Linked DNA regions of Sus scrofa. The protein of the gene in region 1 interacts with the protein of each later gene in a pairwise test. Links are inferred from orthologs where the notes say so. Each region holds a gene or a part of one and is shown in the gene's direction. Other genes may lie near its edges. The genes, in order: SPA17, MYL6B and AKAP7.

Evidence for each region.
Region 2: the proteins of SPA17 (region 1) and MYL6B interact in binary tests that used the Homo sapiens proteins (3 or more experiments, as listed by UniProt). The two-hybrid records come from large-scale screens. The link is inferred for Sus scrofa from reciprocal best matches to the Homo sapiens genes SPA17 and MYL6B.
Region 3: the proteins of SPA17 (region 1) and AKAP7 interact in a two-hybrid assay, tested with the Homo sapiens proteins (3 studies listed by BioGRID and IntAct). The two-hybrid records come from large-scale screens. The link is inferred for Sus scrofa from reciprocal best matches to the Homo sapiens genes SPA17 and AKAP7.

The regions. Positions count from the first base shown.
Region 1 is NC_010451.4:51,917,395-51,921,145, forward strand, and holds the start of SPA17 (sperm surface protein Sp17), read left to right. Parts: upstream 1-1,521; 5' UTR 1,522-1,666; intron 1,667-2,738; 5' UTR 2,739-2,765; coding exon 2,766-2,919; intron 2,920-3,751. Other genes in the region: SIAE (sialate O-acetylesterase), read right to left, coding at 1,336-1,402. UniProt on the Homo sapiens protein: Sperm surface zona pellucida binding protein. Helps to bind spermatozoa to the zona pellucida with high affinity. Might function in binding zona pellucida and carbohydrates.
Region 2 is NC_010447.5:21,552,935-21,556,685, forward strand, and holds the start of MYL6B (myosin light chain 6B), read left to right. Parts: upstream 1-1,416; 5' UTR 1,417-1,808; intron 1,809-2,142; exon of another isoform or gene 2,143-2,169; intron 2,170-3,126; 5' UTR 3,127-3,172; coding exon 3,173-3,394; intron 3,395-3,751. UniProt on the Homo sapiens protein: Regulatory light chain of myosin. Does not bind calcium.
Region 3 is NC_010443.5:32,275,036-32,278,686, reverse strand, and holds part of AKAP7 (A-kinase anchor protein 7), read left to right. Parts: intron 1-1,311; coding exon 1,312-1,459; intron 1,460-3,651. UniProt on the Homo sapiens protein: Probably targets cAMP-dependent protein kinase (PKA) to the cellular membrane or cytoskeletal structures.

The DNA.
Region 1 (3,751 bases):
GTAATATTAAAGTTAACAGCCTTTAACAGAAAAACTATAAAATAACAATCCTGCTCTCTTCTTTTCCTTTTCCCCACCTAATATACTGGACTCAAAACTCACCAAGTGGGGACAAAAGTCAGGAAATGATACACAGAGTGCTGCTAGTTTACACTTTTGATAAACCCTGAAGAACCATTTATGGGCTGCAGTTTGTCTGCATCTGGGCACTGTGTGGGTTCTTAGGCAGAGCTGCAGTCATTTTTCTTGACTCTGTTCTCCCACCTCAACTTTTTTTTTTTTTTTTTTTTTTTTTTTTGGTCTTTTTGCCATTTCTTGGGCCGCTCCCGTGGCATATGTAGATTCCAGGTTAGGGGTCCAATCGGAGCTGTAGCCACCGGCCTACGCCAGAGCCACAGCAACGCTGGATCCGAGCCACGTCTGCAACCTACACCACAGCTCACGGCAACGCTGGATCCTTAACCCACTGAGCAAGGGCAGGGATCAAACCCGCAACCTCACGGTTCCTAGTCGGATTCGTTAACCACTGAGCCACGACGGGAACTCCTCAACTTTCCTTTCTTAACAGGGACCTTTGGGGTCCACTATTTGAGTGGTCGGATAAAGAAGGGGGAAAAAAAAAAAAAATCCAGCATTATCCCTTTACTTGCATTTCTGGACAAGGTCCCTCTTCTGGTTTCTCCATGGCTGTGACCCAGCGTCCAGCCCGGGGTATTCAAACGAAACAATATATGACCTGAACAATAGTCAAAGTGAGTCACCCTCCTCCTCAATGCCACGCATATTATCCCACCACCAATATCTGCGAGCTGCAGCAGGAATCAAAGCTGAGTCTTAAATATTCTGAGCTAGTGAGGGGGTTGTATTTCTTAGCCCTAATCACCACTTAAAACTAGTAAAATTTAATTCCCCCAAGGAACCCAGCCTGAAGGAAACCCTCCCCAAGGGTGCCACTGAGGGGGCAGCACTGAAATGTTTGGGATGACTGAGTCATCAGTTTCCAAATATTATCTAACTAGCTTCGCCCCCTCCCCTTCGAGTTCCCCTGCAATTATTCAGAGACACTAAGGGCCTCGGTCTGAGCACATTTGGGCTTTCCCTCGCTTAGATAAACCCAACTCTCCCACTCCCTGCATCATAAAGGCAGTGGAAGGGAGTGGAGAAAGAGGACGGGCCGGGGCAGCCTAGGCCTTGCAAGGAGAACCAGGCTTCGGCCCGGGGTTCCGTCCCAGACCTACAGAAGGGGACTCGGGGGCCGTCCTACGGAGTAACTCAGAGTCCGCATAGGCGGACGGGCGGACAGGGGTCGGCCCGAGCCGAGCCCGGCCGCCTCACCTGCACTTGCGTCGGCCGGCAAGAGTAACGACAGCACCAACCCAAACACAAACCCCAGAGCGACCATGTTTGCGAGGAGGGCGCACCCCTGCGCCGCCGGGGCGGTGCGGACGCCAGCAGAGGTGGAGCCTTGTGGGCGGGGCCTGCGCAGGGCCGATAAGGTCAGACTCCGCCCTTCTCAGGTCATTAATTCCGCGAAGCCGTCCGCGGCCGCCGGGCTGGCCCTTGCTCTCCTCGGCCGCCGTAGTTGAATGGTTTGAGGGGGAACGGTTTCCCGGCAACGAGAAAAAACAACCGGAACTTTCAGCTCCAGCTCAGAGCGATTGAAGAGGTGAGGCGGTTTACCCCATTTCCTCTCCGAAATCGAGACGTCGCTTTCCCCTTCGCCTCTCTTATTCTCTCAGGGTCCCCGCCGCATTCTGGGAAACTTAGGGAAAACTGGCCCCCAAGCAGCCCATTCTGCTAGTGTGAAATCCCAGATCCTCGACGTCGCGCCTCAGACTAGACCTGTGTTCCCCCTGCGACCCCTCTCCTCGCCCCACCTTGGTTGAGGGTCTCTACCTTTTCACCTTAGAATGATTTAATACCCCATCTCCTGTTCCCTCAAAAAGAGAAAGGGAAAAAATCTTTACAGATTGGGCCTCACTAAACCACGTAGTCCCAACCTAGACCCCGACCCTACCTTACTCGGCAGCGTTGACACAAACAAGCCAGGTCTCTGAGTGTTATTTGAACACTGAGTAGCCCAACATGCTGCCTAGCAGCTATTCTTACCTAGCTCTGGTATTCCAAGATAGGAAAAGAAACCTGTTCAAGATGAATCCAGAAAATATAAGACTCCCCAAACATTGAAGACTGGAATTGCAAAATCATGACCTTGCCCCCAGCACCCCCGCCCCGTTGCCCCTTCCAGAGTATACAGATGCTTCGACGAGGCATTGCAGGTCATGCAGCAGAAGTGAAAGCTAAGGGAAAGACTGTGTGAAACTTATTCGACAAGTTAGTTTTAACAAGGACTAGTTTTTTTGTTTTTTAATTTTAGACCCTTAACAGGGCCTTTTCGGCAATTTAAGATGAATTTATAATAATCACTCTAAATCCCCGTGGGATAGCAGAAATTACTCTGTCTTCAAAAGACAGAGTGAGAAAAAATACTTATTATAGTGAAAAATCTGTGATTTTTGTAATTTTAAAAAATGATTTACCTATTAAATTAGACTGTTAACAGTCTAATAAGGGAAAATTTCAAAAATCTTTGGAAGCAATGGATAGACTTGGGTTGGGTTGGGGGTAAAAAGGATTGAAGTCCAGAAGTTTGGGGTCTCAGAAATAATTTGTCATAGTTGTGGTTATATAAGTAAAATAAGACAAATTTAAAAACAGTATCTTTAACGAATCTCTAGGTACAATAGACAGTTCCTTCCAAGGAGATGTCGATTCCATTCTCCAACACCCACTACCGAATTCCACAAGGATTTGGGAATCTACTTGAAGGGCTCACACGCGAGATTCTGAGGGAGCAACCCGACAATATACCAGCTTTTGCAGCAGCATATTTTGAGAATCTTCTAGAGAAAAGAGAGAGTAAGCTTTTTTTAAAATAGGCATTGGAAAAAAAGAGACTAAGCCTTTGATTATGGTAAAACTTGCTTAAGACCATTCCTATTACACAGAAAGCCTTTATGAGGCAGATAGCTTTAACAGTTATTGCTTTTTAAAACAGCATGTGCCTTTTTGGCAGATTCTCTTATGTCACATTCCACCTTATGGAAGGTTACCAGTTTATCACAGACTTTCTTCACTGTATTTCTCATGAACACATGCAGTGGAAGGGGAGGTCGGGAGAACATTCAGCCCAGCTCTCCATTTTCCAGCATGCTGTCCACCTACATCCTGGGCAGTTGACTGTCTGTTCTTCGTAAGAGGAGTTTGTGGTTTTCTTTACATTTTGACTCTTCTTACTCAAAAAGTATTATTAAGTATTGCAAAAAATAATAATTCTGTGCTCCTTAGATTAAATAAGTTGGTATTCACGGGAGTATATGAAACTGCTCCTCAAAAAAGGCGCACAGAAAAACTGCTTTTGAAAAGAAAACTTTTCAAAAAACTTCAGCTTGGGAAGGTGATTTATATTCTTTTTCTGTATTTCCAAGGTCCCATCCTGTCCAGAGACAGTGACTCTATGATTGAAAGCCAAAGCATAGTTTCTTTGCTTCCATAAATAAAATTTCCACATTCCCAGCCTTGAAGGTCTTTGACTATCAAGACCTGACTCACTGGTCAAAATGGAAATTATTACAGCTGTAGGTTTCTATTAAAAGCCCTAACTAGGGGAGTTCCCGTCGTGGGGCAGTGGTTAACGAATCCGACTAGGAACCATGAGGTTGCGGGTTCCATCCCTGCCCTTGCTCAGTGG
Region 2 (3,751 bases), on another chromosome or scaffold:
AAGTGGAAATGAACCCGACCAGTATCCATGAGGATGTGCATTCGATCCCTGGCCTCACTCAGTGGGTGGGGATCCGGGGTTGCCATGAGCTGCAGTGTAGGTCACAGACAAAGCTCAGACCCCGAGCTGCTGTAGCTGCGGTGTAGGCCGGCAGCTGGAGCTCCGATTCCACCCCTAGCCTGGGAACCTCCATATGATGCAGATGTGGCCTAGAAAAAAAACAAAACAAACAAACAAACAAAAATTAAGTAGCCTGAAAAAGAACTCAAAACAATAGCAAATAAAACATCACATTTAAGCAGGCTAGTCTGAATCCACACTCTTTAGCACCCTCTATGGTTCATGCAGTACCTGCTCTGTGGAGACCTTCAGAAATGGTTGCTAACACCCTCCACCTCCTCATCGGTTATTGTTTTTATTATACAATCCATTTCTACTCTTCCAAAAAGCCTTCCCCAACCAGCCAACATCAATTCTGCACTGCCCATTAAGTTCATTTATGCCTCACTCTTCTGACCTCTTGTGGGCTTTCTACTCCCACCCACTGCCTGCAAGCAAGCCCGTGCAAGCCCCAATCTCCAGCATGGTATGCACCTTCAGGGCATTTACTCTTCCATCTAGTAGTAGATCAGTGGGGCTGGGCTGGTTCCTTACCAGCCCAAAGGAGACCTTTCAAAAGCATCTTGGGGGATGTACAACACAGAGAATATAACCAATATTTATAACTATTAATGGAGTACATACAACCTACCTGAAACAGAATATTCTGTACCAACCATACCTCAATTAAACACAAACAAGGAGTTCCCTCTGTGGCTCAGCAGGTTAAGGACACGACGCTACCTCTGTGAGGAGGCAGGTTCAATCTCTGGGCTCACTCAGTGAGTTAAGGATCCAGTTTTGCCACAGGTGATGTAGGTAGCAGATGCAGCTCGGATCCCTGTTGCCCTGGCTGTGGAACAGGCCTCAGCTGTAGGTCCAATTGGACCCCCCCCCCTCGCCTGGGAACTTCAATGTGCCACAGGTGCGACCATTAAAAAAAAAAAAAATCTAAAAAACAACCAGCCATCCACGGGAAAGAGATGTCCAATGCTGGGCAGAGATGTCTCAGAGTCAAGAGCTGGAGAACGCAGGCCTCCACTCCAAAGAGACCTGTGAAGAACAGAAAGGGTGCCTGATGCATACGCGGCCGCAGAATGGAGAAACTTCAACTCGGACTGCGGCAGGTTAGCCGGCTTAATTCCAAATTTTAACGTTTACTTCAACTACCAGTTCACTTCAAACAAACAACTTTACTGTTCCAAGTCATACAGCCACTCAATGGCCTCTATTTTCTACCGAACTGCAACAGGAAGCTAAACTGACCTAACCACTCGGCCCGGGGCCGTTAAGTGCTTCCTGAGCTACCTGACCTTCTATCTGAGCCTGGGGCAGCTACAACCCTTCCGCTGCTTCCGCGTTCTCACAGCGAACTCAGGAAAACAGCTCCGCCCACACTAAACAGTGAACTCAGGGCCAAACAAGGGAGATATTCTGAAGGGCCGCGCACGTTTTGAGAGTCAGTGAAAAGTACTTTTTCCGGGATAAGAAACGCGCCCCAAACATACTGAGTCACCAACCGCCGCTTCGGGCCGGAAGCCACCGCACTAACACCGCCCCCCTTACGTAGTTAAGCGGAGTTTCCCGTGAGCCTCCGGGCGCGCGCGAGGACTACGATTCCCGGCATGCTCGGTGGCTGGCGAAATTAACCCTTCAGGGACTGCGGCTGCCCTTCGCCCCGCCTCCTCCTCTTACCTGGACCCCTCAGGGTGAGTTTTTGGGGCTTTGGGGAGGGACTCTTTCCTTTATTTAATATTTAGGGTGTGTGTATGTGAGTGTGTGTGTGTGTGGTGTGTGTGTGTGAGAGAGAGAGAGAGAGAGAGAGAGAGTGATGTGCTTATTTTCCTAAAATGAGGCAATTGGCAGTAATGAGATTCAGAGACTTTTTTGGAGTGGGAGACCCAGCATCAACTCTCTGAACCCCAGGACCTAAGTGGGATCACTCTTATCTTCCTCGGAATGCTGTTTAAATCGTCTCTTTCTTTAACCCCAGAACAAAACTAGCCAGTGACGCCCCCCCCCCCACCCCATATGCCCGGACTTCGACTCTACCCCAGCGCTCCCAGCAAGGTTTGTAATCTGGCAACCTAGTCTGGAGGTTTTATTATCCCTCTGGTTGGGAATGAGTACTCATGGAGGCCAAAGGGCCTCCCACGTCCTTTTGGATTAGAGATTTTAGAAATTAAGCCCTTTGCCTCTCAGAGCCTGCCCTTCCCCCCAGGTGCAAGGAGCCCCTGCAGGTTCAGACACCCTACTTGTGTCTGACCTGAATGACCATAGGTTTGTGGACAAGTGTTCCTTCCTTGGGAGTATGGATGGTGGGTGTTAAACTGTCCTTGCCCGCATCCCCGCTCCTTAAACGTTTAACACTGGGTACAGGAACAATCGGAGGGGGAGGTCACACTCTTCTCTTACTATTCTGTCTCTATTTTGTACACAGTTCCAGTTCTGGGCTGGCAGGAAGAGGGTTAGAGAATTACAGTATTCAGGATTATGAAGCTGTGGGATCCACTATCCCTGCTTCTCATCCATGGTCAGAGAGGAGCAGAGAGTCTGCTTGTTTTTTTCACCTTTCACTACTCCCAGACCCCACTTTAACAATCACAGTTCACAAGGCCCCCATCCCTGCTTCAGCCTTCAAGAGTCTAAAGCTGCTAGGAAAAAGGGCTCTTCTGAGTCAGAGGGTTGAGGGCATTGAATGCCTGGATCTCCTTCTTTGCCTCACCCCTATTTTACTGTTTGTCACTGGCAAGCATCCTATCCTCACCCCGGAGGTTAACTCCCCCATTCTGGGCAGTCTCTGGCTTCCTCCCCCTGCCCCCAAAGGGGCCATTGTTCTGGTCAGCATTTGGGGCCAGGTGGACAGAAGGGAGAAGACCTTGGGGCAGGAGTCCTGAACCATAGGAGGCCAGGGGAGTGAGGGCAGGCCAGCATATCTCTCCTCTATCTCACCCTCCCCATCGCCAACTGGCTCCCTGCCCCTGCCCCCGCCCCTTGACATCCCAGACTCCCTGGCTATTTAAACAGAGATGGGTGCCCCCATCGGCACACTGTCCTTTGGCCACCGGACATCATGCCTCCCAAGAAGGATGTTCCCGTTCCCGTGAAGAAACCAGTGGGGCCCCCTAACCCCAAGCCTGCTGCGCCTGCTGCCAAGCCAGCAGCAGGGGCCCCTCCAGCCAAGCCACCACCAGCGTCAGCGTCAGCGCCAGCACCAGCACCAGCACCAGCACCAGCTGTCCCTTCAGCCTCTGCGAAGATCCAGGAGCCCCCCGTCGATCTCTCCAAAGTGGTGGTGAGTCCCTGGAAAGTGAGAAAAGAATTTGGAGGGAGTGGTAAAGGGTGGGATTCAGCCTAGAGGACTAGGGGGTATCTAGAAGGTAGGGAATCAGTAAGCACTGGATGATAGCGGGGGTTTCCCTTCGTCCCCTATTTGGAAGGATTCAGGGTCATGACTCTGCTATTGTCTTTGTTGAGCTCTTCCTCTAATCTATAACACGTTCTGTGTACGTATATACACACACATTCTCACTGACCCTCCTGCTGGAGGCAGGGACTGTGAGATGGGGAACATCTGGGTTCTGAGGACAGTTTCAAGGTGAAGGGAGGGAGCTGCTGCCGGCCCCTGGCTGACTGTTCAACACGAAAGGCC
Region 3 (3,651 bases), on another chromosome or scaffold:
GTGTAGGTTGCAGACGCAGCTCATCCTGCATTGCTGTGGCTGTGGCGTAGACCAGCAGCTGTAGCTCTGATTTGACCCCTAGCCTGGGAACCTGCATGTGCCATAGGCGTGGTCCTCAAAAGCAAAAAAAAAAAAAAAGAAAAAAGAAAGAAAGAAAAGGAGAATGCTATATATTATTTATTGATATGACATATTAACTGAAAAAAGCTGGTTATCAAATAGTATTCATGGTACAACTCATGTCTTGCATGGGAAAAATAAGATACATAACAAAATTATGTAGTAGTAGTTTGAGGTAATTTAATTTTTTTGTTTTTATATCTATTTAAAAATTTTTATAATAATTTTCATGAATAAAAAGGGAAACTATTTTATTTATACTTTGGTAAGCTTTATATAAGTGTAATGTGAAGATAACATCTATGCAAGAAAAAGACTTGAAGGGTTAATATATTTTATGTAAATAACAGGGTCATGAATGACTTTTGTTTCTTTTTTTTCTAGATTCTGGATAATTTCTTAAGTTTTAGCAAATGATAGCTAGTTCCAGGGCAATGTAAAAATATGTATAAATTAAAAGAAAAATGTCACACATGGTCAATCAGCCAAAAGACTTGCCCTGTGGGGTACTGTATCTTCCTTCATTTTATGGATTGTGCTTTGAGATTATGAGACAGGTATAGGACCTTTGTATAATAAGGGGAGAGGAAGATATTCTTTTCCATATTTTGGGAAACTCCAGAGGTACCAAGAACATCCCACTGTAATTTTTCAACAACCAGCCCTTTTTCTGCTGTGAAAACACACTGAGAAGCAGGAGGGGCAGGTTGGGAAAGACCTGGAAGCTCCATTGACCCCTCTACACCACTTCAAATAAGCTTACATAAGGAGTTTAAAAATGGCATCCATTTTATTAGAACATTTTACACACTATAAAATATTAATTAAGATCCATCTAACTTTGAAAATATTCACCCTTTTCTCCGTTGTCATTGGTGATGATTACTCTTGCCTTGATATCTCAAATTTCAACGTGATGTACTTTACTCTTTCTGAAGTTTAAAGCATATGAAGGTTTGAATGCTTCCAAGTTCAAACCCAACACTCCTTAATAGTTTTTTTAATACAACTCATTCTAGGCAGAGAGACTTTAAAGACACATTTACAACATTTTGTGGTATCATTTTCAGATGCTGGTAGGCAGCACCGTATATCAAAATGTAATATCATGTTCTGAAAAAGTGATAGAGATATGAACTGGTTTCCTAGGTAAAATGATTGATTGACGTGATTTTGTTTTGTCATTTCAAGGGAGTGAAAAAAATAGACCCCAAAGTCTATGAAAAATTCATCAGTCACAGATTTGGAGAAGAAGTGGTACATTGCATAGATCTGTGCTCCATGCTGAAGAAAAAACAAAGTAATGGTTATTATCACTGTGAGTCATCAATTGTGATTGGTGAGTGCCATTTACAAATTATTTATTATCTTTAGTTTTGATTTCTTTAACACCCTTTTGTTTTGGCATCTATTTTTTTGTCGTTTTTCTCCATGACATATTCTGTTAAATATTATGTTAAGACAATAATACATTAAAATTTTTGTGGAACATAGGTGGAAAAATCCAGTGAGGAATTAAAAACTTCCTGGGAAATAAAAAAAAAAAAATATTGAGATCCTGCTGTGTAGCACTGGGAACTACGTCTAGTCACTTATGACGGAGCATGATAACATGCGAAAATAGAATGTGTACATGTCTGTGTAACTGAGTCACCATGCTGTACAGCAGAAAAAAAATTGTATTGGGGAAATAACAATAAAAAAAATAAATGTCAAAAAATTAAAAATAAATAATTTTTTGTGGAACATATTAAATATTCATATCTGTTAACCAGTATTTATTTATTAACTTTTTTCTTTTTAAAATTTTATGATTTTAATTTTTTCTATTATAGTTGATTTACAGTGTTCTGTCAATTTCTACTGTACTGACCCTTACTTTTTCTCCCATTATCCTCCATCATGCTCCATCACAAGTGACTAGATATAGTTCCCAGTGCTATACAGCAGGATCTCATTGCTTATCCACTCCAAATGCAATAGTCTTCATCTGCTAATACCTACAGTTTTTGTACTTTTGTGCTTTCAGTATAATCATGTGAAGTCCTGAAATGTTGATTCAAAATTCATTTCAATTTAATTTTACTTCGTGAATATGAAGAAAGGATTTTTTCTCAAAATGAATGTTTACATGGCCACAGCATTCTATACCAGGCATCTTCATGTTTGCTGCTTTTAATGAGGAATAGAGGCGTTCCTGTTGCAGCACAGCAGAAACGAATCTGACTAGGAACCATGAGGTTGCGGGTTTGATCCCTGGCCGTGCTCAGTGAGTTAAGGATCCGGCGTTGCCATGAGCTGTGTTGTAGGTCACAGACGCGGCTGGGATCCCGAGTTGCTGTGGTATAGGCTGGAAGCTACAGCTCCTATTTGACCCCTAGCTTGGGAACTTCCATATGCTGTGGGTGCAGCCCCAAAAAGATAAAAAACAAAAGACAAAGAACAAAAAAGGAATGGAGTGTGCCAGGCCAGAAAGATTCACTCTAAGAAGGGAAAGCATAGGGGGCCTGCACAGGCTGAAAACTTGTCCTTCAATTTCTTCCCTAAGAAAAACATGTTTTGAGGAGAAACAAAGATTCATACATAAATGCTCTATCATCTTGTCAGGGAGATGGCATCTGATGAGACAGATTCATACAGTAATTATGTTTCCAAGGGCAAAGTGTGCTCACCAAATGAAGAACGTTTAAAGCCAGAACAGGGTATTTCTCATCGTTTGCAATGTGAATGAATTTCAAAGGAGCCTGATCTGCTGTGATTCAAATTTACTATTTCAAACCGGGCAATCTTCTTATAAAATTGTGAACTTCAAGACAACCTGATTTTTACACTTTTGAAGTAACATGAAAGTATCCAAAGAAGATAAATACGTCTATCTAAATATTTCAAGGTCTGCAACCAAGGTCACTTCTCTCCACATCAGCTGGAAGAAAACCTATGGAAATATACATCCTGAAAAATCTTAATACTGAAGTTTGTTTTAAAGCGTTTTTAAAATGTTCAAGAAACACAGTTTTATGTCTCAATTCCCAGATCTTCAGAGAAGTCATCATCATTTTACCTTCCAAAGACCTTAACTATCTCAAACAGAAGATAATCTGACATTTGAATTTTATGTTCTGAAACATTTCAAGTGTATTTTAAGGAAGATTTTCTTGTTTTCAGGATCTCTCTGAGAGCGCAGTCTTCCATCAGAGTTTTGATGAGAACCAAACATTTCATTTTAGGTTCATTGTAAAAGGCAAATTTAAATCCTTCTAGTGTAATATAGATTTTTGGCTAGCTTTCCGTATCTTCTCTGTAATTACTTTAAGCCAACCTTGAAGGAGAACTTAGTGCCTCATTGCCTCTCCCACTCCCATTTAAGAAAAAAAGAGCAGAACATAGATTTTATTGAAGGTATTGGGCTGCATTATACAGCTCACAGCATGTATCACCTATATTGCCATTAGACAGCTCTGTTCAGCTACCCCAAATTACTGTGTTCCACCCACTGAATTTTCTTTTATTGCTGTTTTTCAGCTTAGTTTC